Linked DNA regions of Stegostoma tigrinum. The protein of the gene in region 3 interacts with the protein of the main gene of each other region in a biochemical or structural test. Links are inferred from orthologs where the notes say so. Each region holds a gene or a part of one and is shown on either strand. Other genes may lie near its edges. The genes, in order: cs, beta-crystallin A1 and cryabb.

Region 1 (3,754 bases), on a different chromosome or scaffold from region 3:
TGTACACCCATCAGTAACACACACACACACCCCAAAAGCAAGCCTGACCATAGCCACCCCTCCTAAAGGGTGAGTGACAGCTCAATAACGGGCTGGTACTGGTTGGCATCACCCTTAGTACGTGGTAATGGAGTAGCCAGCGTGCAGAGAACCTTTACCAGCATCAGCTTCGTACCTCCTCTGGGTCCAGCACCGATGTTTCATACACCAACCCCTTCATTCCTCGCATGCCACCATATACCTGGGGAGATGGGGGGGGTTAATTAACACACACACATTTAAAATAGAAAACATCGGTAAGCAGGTACAATTCACAAACCAGGGAGCGCACGAGCGAGATGGGCACCCACCCACACGCTGGCACATTAGACGGCAGGGCTGATTAAAATGACAAGATGGGGGCAGGTAATCAGAAAACAGATCTCACAATGACACATATTAGAGTCTTACGGCACAGAAATAGACCCGCGCCAACCGTAATCCCAAACTGAACCAGTTCCACCTGCCTGCCTGTTCTTGGTCCATCACCTTCTAAACATTTCTTATTTTTATCCAAGCATTTTTTCAATATCATAACTGCACCCACATCCTCTGGAAGTTCATTCACACACGAAACCTGTCTTTTTTAAAATCTTCTCCCCTCACCTTCAAAACATGCCCGTGGTTTTGAACTCATCCACCCCATTCACCTTATCTATGCCGCTTGTGATTTCATATGTCAGCCATTAACCAGCAATGCTCCAGCCTCTGCTTATAAATCCAACCTTTCAGTCCCAGCAACATGCTCTTCTGAACCCACTTCAGCTCAATAATCATTGTAGAAAAGATGTTGTTAAGTGAAATAATTAATTTAGACAGCATAAATAATGTTGAGAATATTAGAAACATGAGACAGGTGTAGGAGCCTGTACCACCATTCAATGTGATCATGACTGACCACACAGCATCAGCATCCCTTTCCTGTTTCCTCTCCATATCCCGCAATCCCTTTAGCCTCAGGGCCACACCCAGCTCCCTCTTGCATATACCTTACAAACTGGCCGCCACAGCTTTCTGTGGGAATGAATTCCACAGGATCACAACTCTGACTGAATAAACTTTTCCTCATCTCAGTCAATATTAATAACACGCTGCCCTTTAAACGTGGAGCAGGAGCTCAGGGGATAGATTTTCCAAAGCGACGTGACGCATGTGCCCCAGAATGCTCTTGGGGAAAGACCCTTTGGTTAGAGGCCGAGGCAAGTCTCAAATCCATACCCCACCCCCCCGACACCAACACAGACACACTACCAAAGCACCCCCCCAGCTATAGTCCTGACAACCTGAGAGACGCAGCGTCAGGCTTTGAAGATGCCGAGAACACCCGCTCTCTCAGGGAAACAGAAAGGGAATGGGCGTGGGAAACGATAGCTCAGCCTCTGCCTACCAAACGATTGCTCCACCTCAGCCCCGGGCCTGACCCCTATCCCCGTTACTCACAAACAGGAAACGGAGCACACAAATCCATACCATGTCAACATTGATTTGCCCGATAACTGTCTTGCCATACTGCTTTTTGAAAGCTCGGATCCTTGACTGCTCCTTGGGGATGATCTCTGCAAGAATTTCCTTCAAATTCTACAGGAGAGCAAAAGCATCCGTTAGACGTATTGCACAACGCGGGGTGTGCGCGTGGTCGGTGGAGGGGAAAGCGATGTGGACAGTCTTGGTGAAACTGCGCCCTCGAGCAAGCAGCAAGGCAGCTCCACGGCCACCCAGGTCATACCATGAGATGTCACCTGCTCCTCAACTCAGGCCCCAACATACAGGGAGGGCGGAGGTTAGCGCTCATTTCGAGAGGGGGAGAATATAACAGGGGGCGGAGCAGGTGGGAGGAGGGAGCGGGTAGGAAGGCAGAGGAGGGAGGAAGGGAGCAAGGAAGCAGTGCGGTTGGGCATTAGCAGTATGAAACAGAAGGAATGATGTGCAAAAAGACAGGGTGGTGTGGATGTGTGTGTGTGTGTGTTGGGGTGGAGGGGAATGAGCAGTTGGGAACAGAAAAAGAAAAAGAGGGGAGGTGTGGATGTGGGGCGACAGAGAGAGGGGGCAGCGGAGGACAGAAGGAATAAAGAGGAATGGGGGTGGGAGTGATAGTGGGACAATGACAGGTTACTTCGGCCCATGAGGTGGTTGAGCTGGCAGCTGAAGAGCACAAACCTCAGAGGAGGTTTACCAGGATGCTGCCTGGACTGGAGGGCTTATCTTATGAAGAGAGGTTGACTGAGCTCGGTCTCTTTTCATTGGAGAAAAGGAGGAGGAGAGGGGACCTAATTGAGGTATACAAGATAATGAGAGGCATAGATAGAGTTGATAGCCAGAGACTATTTCCCAGGGCAGAAATGGCTAGCACGAGGGGTCATAGTTTTAAGCTGGTTGGTGGAAAGTATAGAGGGGATGTCAGAGGCAGGTTCTTTACGCAGAGAGTTGTGAGAGCATGGAATGCGTTGCCAGCAGCAGTTGTGGAAGCAAGGTCATTGGGGTCATTTAAGAGACTGCTGGACGTGTATATGGTCACAGAAATTTGAGGGTGCATACATGAGGATCAATGGTCGGCACAACATTGTGGGCTGAAGGGCCTGTTCTGTGCTGTACTGTTCTATGTTCTATGTTCTAAACTTCGGGCAATCTGGGCAGGCCCCCACCTCCCCGCTTGGAAACGGGCCCAGACGGAGGGTCGCTGCAGAAGATGTTGACCACTCACCGTTTTGGTACTTGTATTCCGTGCAGCAAATACGACACATGCAGTGTTCTGTAAAACAAAAGAGAGAGAGAGAGAGAGAGACAGAGACAGATGAGCCTTTGCTTAAATTCATTCAGTATTGACGTCAACATGGAAAGCAAGTTCACACAAGTAGGGTGCTTGAACTAAACTCCTTCGGGTTGTGGCAAGCTCCAAAGATTGGTAAACCATCCCAGGGAAGGAACACCAAGTCCCAATCGAAGTGAGCTGAAGCACAAGTTGGAGCATGTATCTACGTGAGCAAGTGTCTATCTGAGTGTCTCTCACCAATTTGCAGTTGCCTGTACAGTGATGGAGTCATTGACTCACACAGAAACAGAGCCTACAGCCCAACTTGTCCATGCCGACCAAGTTTCCCAAACTAAACTGGTCCCACTTGCCTGCATTTGGCCCATGTCCCTCTATTCACGTACCTGTCCGAATATCTTTGGAATGTTGCAACTGTACCTGCATCTACGGCTTCCTCTGGCAGTTCATTCCACATATGTCCAACTCTTCAGTGTGAAAAAGTTGCCCCACAGGTCCCTTTTAAATCTTTCTCCTCTCACTTAAAAATATGCCCCTTGGTTTGAACTCCATTACCCTGGGTAAAAGACCTTTGTTGTTCACTTTACCTCTGCCCCTCACGATTTTATAAACCTCGACAAGGTCACCTCCTACACTGCAGGGGACAAAGTCCTTTTCAGTCCAGCCTCTCTCTAGAGCTCAAACCACCCAGTCCTGGCAACATCTGAACCCCTCTCCAGTTTAATAATATCCTTCCTGTAACAGGGCGACCAGAACTGGACACAGATGCTCCAGAAGAGGCCTCACCAATGTCTCTGTACGACCTCAACGTGACGTCCCCAGCTCCTATATTCAAAGTGTGCCAAAGACATTCTTAACCACCCTGTGTACCTTGATGCAAACTTCAAAGAACTGTGTACCTGAACCCCTGGGCGTCTCTGTTCAAGACAACACTACCCAGGGCCCTAT
Region 2 (3,754 bases), on a different chromosome or scaffold from region 3:
TTCCCCTACTGCATCCCTAAACCAGCCCAGTTCGTCTCCTCCCCCCACTGCACCACACAACCAGCCCAGCTCTTCCCCCCCACCCACTGCATCCCAAAACCAGTCCAACCTGTCTCTGCCTCCCTAACTGGTTCTTCCTCTCACCCATCCCTTCCTCCCCCCCCAAGCCGCACCCACAGCGACCTACTAACCTCATCCCACCTCCTTGACCTGTCCGTCTTCCCTGGACTGACCTATCCCCTCCCTACCTCCCCACCTATACTCTCTCCACCTATCTTCTTTACTCTCCATCTTCGGTCCGCCTCCCCCTCTCTCCCTATTTATTCCAGTTCCCTCTCCCCACCCCCCTCTCTGATGAAGGGTCTAGGCCCGAAACGTCAGCTTTTGTGCTCCTGAGATGCTGCTTGGCCTGCTGTATTCATCCAGCCTCACATTTTATTATCTTGAGAGTCATACTAGCCCAGTCTGAAAACATTACCCAACTGAGCCCTGAAGCAGTACAGCTGAGTCCGGCCCATTGATGTGTGTCAGTAATTATATCAACTATAAATACAATACGCCTCGGTTTTCTTGATCGTTTACTTCCATCCACCACATTGTGCAATTCAACAGATATCCATCCATCAAACTGGCTACATGCCAGATTCTCAAAGTATCCTCTGGTTGCACCTATTTGAAAATGGGAGGAAATCTCAACATTGTTTCTGTCTTGCTGAAAATGTGGCTCTAAAGTTATTTTTCTGGTCTTTTAATTATAATTTTTGAATAATCATGAGAAAAGAAGAACCACACTGAGCGCTAATACATATTTTATGGATTAATGCATACTTTTGGCAGAGTATAAATCACATTAAAAATTGCACAACTTCTCCAACTGGAACTTCTGAACCTATTAACTTCAAAGTGCTTAACTGATAATTCAATTAATTCAAATATCCTGGTGTGGATTTACATTGCCTTGGGACCCAATTGTTTCAATGTTTTATGTCCATTTTAAGTTTGGACATATTCTAATGAGATTGGAAGAATGGTTGGAGATAACCTGACATTGACAAAATGGACACACGTGTACAATTTTACAGGTGTACGTTCTAACTTGTACCTAAGGATAAAATTCTAGGCTATACTGTCCTGAGAATAGATTACGTGATAGGCCAGCATTAAATCACTCAACTCTTTAACAAACGAAAACAGAAATTGCTGGAAAAACTCAGCAGGTCTAGCAGTGACCCTTAATCTTGAGTTAAAATGTTTATCTCTGTTTTGTCTCCACAGATACCACCAGACCTGCTGAGCTTCTCCAGCTGTTTCTATTTTTGTTTGTTTCAGATGTCCAGCATCCACAGTTCTTCGTTTTATTTAACAGAGCTCATTTATGTTTCCTTTGCAGAAGGAAAGTCAGCTTTAGACCTTATGACATGCACATACCATGATGAGATATACACCCATTCATGCATATGTGTGTTACATAAAGTAGTTTGGAAAGATTAGTACGGAAAATAAATAAAAGTTAAGGGAAAAATTGAATTTTGGGATCCCTGACATTCATGAGTACCCCACAATAAGACTGACTGAGGCTATATTGTAACCTGATCATTGCAAAATAGCATGAACACCAGCTCAAGGACCTGTTACTTCCACTCTGCCCCCACCCCTAGATTTACAATGTTGCTGTTATGTGAAAACTACTTCAGAACAAAAATAGAGATGTAATTGAACCCTCAGTTAATTGATACTAATTTTAGATCAGTAATACATGAAGCAATCTAATTCTCCATAGTATCAGTGTCTAAATTCACCAAATTCTCTTCAGAAAGTGAACAACAATAACACTGCTATGTAAATATGTGTGTAAAGGTAAAAACAAAATACATTTCCGTAAACTGATGATTATGATTTGCAAATCACAATGAATTTTAAAATCTCCATGATTCCATTTCAAGTAAGACTGATAAAATTGCTTGAGAATGTGTTTGACAGTAACGGTTAGGGCTGTGTTATTTTGTTGCAAAAATATGTAAAGGCCGTTGACTCACGCTCCACAATCAACTTTGATGGATCGAATATTGTCAAATCCACAGTCCATTATATTCTTGCAGGATGCAGTGAATTCCATCCTCTTGCCTTGGAAATTTTCTTGATCATAAGCAGTAATCTGCAATAAGATGATTACTGTTACTCATTTCATGAAATTCTGTGAAAAGGAGCTTTAAGCAAAAGCTAATGTTTCAATTCTGACTAAATATTTAAGAACAAAAACTGCACCTTGAAAACTCCTGCAGGGTTTATTTGCGCCATGCTTATAGCTTGGTGTTTCTTGTCCTGAAAGAAAAAGTCAAATGGCATTATTTTTCTTCACAAGGCAATGGCTTGGAGAAAGGTATCAATATTTGATGCAATAAAATCCTGGCTAATTCTGGTGTAATGTTCTACTATATCTGGCTAAATTGATGCTGTAGAGTAAATTACAAAGCAGGGATAAACAAATTGAGACAAAACAAAGGAATTTGAAGTTAAAATAAAATAAAAACAAGAAAAACCCAACTTACCAGAGCCGAACTGTTTGGGGTAGGTTCCAAAAATGATTGAGTTGAGTTTCATCGCTCCTATTTATAGTCAAACATTGAATAGAAAGTGAGAAGTGAGCGAGTCAGATTTGTGGTCCAGTGAGCAGCAGATATGAATGCCAACATCTCATTGTTTGTGGCTGATCCCATGGATTTCAGTTTCAACCCTATGCTGGGGCTGGGGCAGGAGCAGAAAGATTAAAATCTGCATATCTGAATAATGCATGAATAACTTTTAGATAAAAATGTATTTAAAAATGTTAAATATATTTTGTTAACAGAAAATTACTCAGAACACAACGGGGTTGATTTGAGCACTGACTTTGAAATCATACCATGGGAGGCTAGCTAATTATCGCTAATATTTGTTGGAAAATCTATTAATGAGTTACTGTTGCTGGTAAAATGGAGGTCAGATGCATAACTAACAAATATGGCTTAGCTTTTGACTGTTATCCCATGGGTTATATACTTTAAAAAGATGTACCACTTAAATAATTAGGTGCTTGGATTTTAATTGAATAGCTAAGGCAGTTCCTAGATACAATTATATATACTTAGAATATTCACATGCATAGAGTCTTATCCTTGGCCAATATGTTCTGAGAGTATAGACAAGCAACTCACGCTAGTCATTTGTTTAAAATCCCAGGTAATTAAGAGTTATAAAAGGTGTAAAATTTGGATGTTCAACTTCTCAATCACCGAGTTATCAGGGTTTTTAAAATTTAAATACTGCAATTTTTATAAGCATTGATCAGCTATCAAAATGCTATCAGCAGTTTCAATACTTCAAACACAAAGTTTCAATTAAAGTAGACAGTAATGGGCTAAATTTTGTGGTAAATATTGTAGTGAGACTATCAACATTCCCTGTTACTAAACTGGAGAGCAATTTCCAGCAGTTTCACATGCAGTTAAATACGGAAATCAGGAGGTTGCTGTCTGAACTGTCTTCATCTTCCTGTGAAGCTGGATGAACACAGCAGGCCAAGCAGCATCTCAGGAGCACAAAAGATGACGTTTCGGGCCTAGACCCTTCATCAGAGAGCAAGGGTCGAGGCCCGAAACGTCAGCTTTTGTGCTCCTGAGATGCTGCTTGGCCTGCTGCATTCATCCAGCTCCACACTTTGTTACCTTGGATTCTCCAGCATCTGCAGTTCCCATTATCTCTGTCTTCATCTTCC
Region 3 (3,754 bases):
CCAGTAATGCTTGATTGCCCCTACTCCAACTGTGCAACTTAACACAAATTTAGAATTTTGATACTTCTCGAAGACAAGCAATCTTATGGTCTATTTGAGTGAGACTGCAATTGTTTCCAAATATTCATTGTTGCATTTGGAAATAAACCAGAAAACCAAAAAAACTCAAACCTACATCCTACATGTAATATTTAATCTTAAAGCAACTGGCTACTGGCATTGACAATATCGTTTGTAGAAGAGTCCGGTATAAGAACAAAGAACAAAGAAAATTACAGCACAGGAACAGGCCCTTCGGCCCTCCAAGCCTGCGCCGATCAAGATCCTCTGTCTAACCTGTCATCTATTTTCTAAGGGTCTGTGTCCCTTTGCTCCCTGCCCATCCATGTACCTGTCCAAATATATCTTAAAAGACACAATCATGTCTGCGTCTACCACCTCCGCTAGCAACACGTTCCAGGCACCCACTACCCTCTGTGTAAAGAACTTTCCGCGCATATCTCCCTTAAACTTTCCTCCTCTCACTTTGAACTCATGACCCCTAGTAATTGAGTCCCCCACTCTGGGAAAAAGCTTCTTGCTACCACCCTGTCTATACCCCTCATGATTTTGTAGACCTCAGTCAGGTCCCCCCTCAATCTCTGTCTTTCTAATGTAAATAATCCTAAATTACTCAACCTCTCTTCATAGCTAGCACCCTCCATACCAGGCAACATCCTGGTGAACCTCCTCTGCACCCTCTCCAAAGCATCCACATCCTTTTGGTAATGTATGAGTAAGGTTATCATAAATAAAGAGATAAGAAGGTATAGGGAATAGGTGGAAATGTGGAGCAATGAGATCACCCGGGATCTTATTAGCTGGCAGAGCAGCATGAGGAACCAAGTGGCTGACTCATGCTGCTAATCCACATATTTGTATCAGTAAGCATCTCACTTTGTTCCAAAGCTCAATCACAGGTATGTGCCCAATCAGCATCACAGGACATTGACTGCTTTAACAATTACCAACTTGTTAATTTAAGTTATTTAAATTTGAGCTAATTTTTACTATTAATATTTGTATCCTCTTTTTGGAGGATGGAGAAAGTGGGGTACTTTGTAGTTACTTTGGGTTTTGCTGACCAAATACAAGACTGGATAAGGCAACATAGTGATTCATATTTTATTAGCTAAAGCAGAGTTCAAACCTTGATCAATAAATATTTATATTTTAATTAGCTTATTCAAACATGTTAGGATACACCTCTATGACAAGTAGGACTTAAACCCAGACTTTCTGACCCAATGGGAGGAGACTATCAAACTGCCACAAGATACTAAATTATTTTCAATGAAGCTGTACTGATGTATGATGATATACCCTCAGAATGGATAGGACGTGAGCCCTGGTGTAGGGATATTACCTTTGTGCACAAGAACCCCTCACCTTAGTCCTATATGTTACTTTGGAAGACTTATCATGTACCAGTGAATCATATTTATTTGTAGCATTTCCTTTGGTTCTTTTCAGGTTACCAGCAATCAGAGATTTTCTTACTCTTGCTTTCTGGGGAATTAATGTGTTCAGATACAGAAAATTAAGCCTAAGCCTTTGGTCCTCATAACGTGCCTTGAGGTTACAGGGAAAAATCAATATTCCATTAACTTTCCTTTATTTCAATTTGCAGATGGTAACAGAGCTTACTGTTCCAGCTTCGGATTTATTTGTCAAAAAAACTTATTATTTACCATTAATTGCACTAATTAAGTGTATTAATTAGTTATATATTTATGTGTATACAGATTCAATGTAAGAGCTTAAGAAATAGGTGCGGGACAAGTCCAGTCAACATTTCCAGCCTCCAGAGATCCTCAAGGTTATCTTCACTTTCCTAAAAGGCCCCATCCCCCCATTCACAAACACCCATCCTATCATGTCCTTTCATTCCATCAACTTGGTCTTGAATATAGTCTACAACTACTCATCCATAGCCTTCTCAGATGGAAATTTCCAAAGGTCCACAAACCTCTTAGCAAAGAAAGTTCTTCAGAGCTCAGTTTGAAATGGCTGTCCCCTTATTCTGATATTATGTCCCCCCTTTCCTCATTATCATATAGAGATACATATATGTTTATTTTCTTCCACTCTATCATATAGATAAACATGTTTATTTATCTTCCACTTCATCATACAGACCTATGTGTTTGTTACCTTCCTCTTTATTTTATATATATACACACATAGAACAATTAGGCACATTCGTTATTGTTATGAGGCAGGCAACACATCCACAAAGATTGATTCGAGTGGTGAAATTCAAATGTTAAACAAATATTTTAGGAAAATGCCACAACTTTAAGGATACTTTGCACCGAACATACCTCTGATAGTCCAGATTGTACCCAGCTTGGCATCCTGAACAATGATGATGGCATTCGCCAGTAGAAGGGGAAGAAGTCAGGATCGAGGTTTTCCCCAAAATGCTGGTCATAGATACGGGAGGGGAAGAGGAAATTTGGCATGAGGGAGCGCCGTAGCCATGGAGTCTGAACTGCAATGTCCATCTTCACTTTCCTCTAAAATTAGCAGGATGTGTATCAGTGTGGTTGTGCTGTCTTCAGTCCAGGGGCTGGTTGAAGGCCAGTTGGTGTCTCAGTCCTTTATATACACAATGACGCCGAACGTGTTGAACTTTCTGGAAAACTGATGAAAGGCTGATTGACTCTGTCATGTGATTTCATTGTTTAGGGATTTATGTTTTAGGGGGGAGGATTAGAACTGACACAAGCAGTGGACCAGTCTCTGCGTTGCTGGATAAAGCTCTGCTGATCACTCTTTTCCTCTGCTGGCACTGCTTCAGAATGCCACAGAAGATGACCTCATGGCATTTCAATAGGAGACCATTGTACTGAGAGGAATATTATGTTGTTTCGGGTTTTGTTTTAAAAAATGAATGATTAAAGATTTTATTTCCTTTTGTGTCTCTGTCTGATCGTTTATCTGAATGTTGAATTTAAACATTGAAGATGGCAAACAGAAGGATTGCAATTCAGAAATAGACTCCCAGTGATAAGCCTCTGATGTCAACTTTCTGGGTATGTGTAGTTTCTGGCAGTGACTGAATGCTTAACAGAGAATTATCTGGACAGAACTATTTCATTCTCTCGCCGTGTTTTATGTCTTCCAGAGTCTTTAAAAAGTAAGGAAGACTGTAAGTGAAATAATTATCTCATAGAATAATTGTCTCATTTCTCCATACTGAAAAAAAAACAAATTAACCAGAGCAAAATAGCTATTTCAGAAGATGCTGGATTCCTTATACGTCCTTCCAAAATTGCAATGTAAAGTTACTCCAGTACTTACTCTTATAATTGCCCTTAGTAAGGACCGAAGTCGCTAACAGCTGTAATATTAAAATGTGCACTACACTAAAATTAGTACAAATGACTATGTACTTGCAGATAGAATTATCCATCACAAAATAACTTTTAATGGCCAACTTTTAAAAATGTTTCGTTATATTTATTTTCATTGGGACATTCGAAGCATGGTTTTAAAGTTATTTTCTAAAAAGTTTTCTACAGAATTGACACTGCGCACATAGCTGGTCAGTGCAACGACGAGTCTGCCTCAACTTGGAAACCAGTGATAGATCGTTGTGATTTCACGTGGCTTGGAATGAAAGTAACACTTGGATGGTGCTTCTCTCTATGCAGCTGCCTCATGGTCATCCAGGAGAACTCCTTCTCTCGCTTTGTCCTTCCCACGGAAA

What was found.
Region 1: the proteins of cryabb (region 3) and cs form a complex in vitro, tested with the Homo sapiens proteins (3 studies listed by BioGRID). The link is inferred for Stegostoma tigrinum from reciprocal best matches to the Homo sapiens genes CRYAB and CS.
Region 2: the proteins of cryabb (region 3) and beta-crystallin A1 form a complex in vitro, tested with the Homo sapiens proteins (2 studies listed by BioGRID and IntAct, with this or other methods). The link is inferred for Stegostoma tigrinum from reciprocal best matches to the Homo sapiens genes CRYAB and CRYBA1.

The regions. Positions count from the first base shown.
Region 1 is NW_026728211.1:118,319-122,072, forward strand, and holds the start of cs (citrate synthase, mitochondrial), read right to left. Parts: upstream 2,830-3,754; 5' UTR 2,741-2,829; intron 1,618-2,740; 5' UTR 1,513-1,617; coding exon 1,510-1,512; intron 242-1,509; coding exon 176-241; intron 1-175. UniProt on the Homo sapiens protein: Key enzyme of the Krebs tricarboxylic acid cycle which catalyzes the synthesis of citrate from acetyl coenzyme A and oxaloacetate.
Region 2 is NC_081380.1:29,961,196-29,964,949, reverse strand, and holds the start of beta-crystallin A1, read right to left. Parts: upstream 2,605-3,754; 5' UTR 2,550-2,604; intron 2,323-2,549; 5' UTR 2,299-2,322; coding exon 2,266-2,298; intron 2,156-2,265; coding exon 2,037-2,155; intron 1-2,036. UniProt on the Homo sapiens protein: Crystallins are the dominant structural components of the vertebrate eye lens.
Region 3 is NC_081385.1:12,617,348-12,621,101, forward strand, and holds the start of cryabb (crystallin, alpha B, b), read right to left. Parts: upstream 2,762-3,754; 5' UTR 2,547-2,761; coding exon 2,364-2,546; intron 1-2,363. UniProt on the Homo sapiens protein: May contribute to the transparency and refractive index of the lens. Has chaperone-like activity, preventing aggregation of various proteins under a wide range of stress conditions.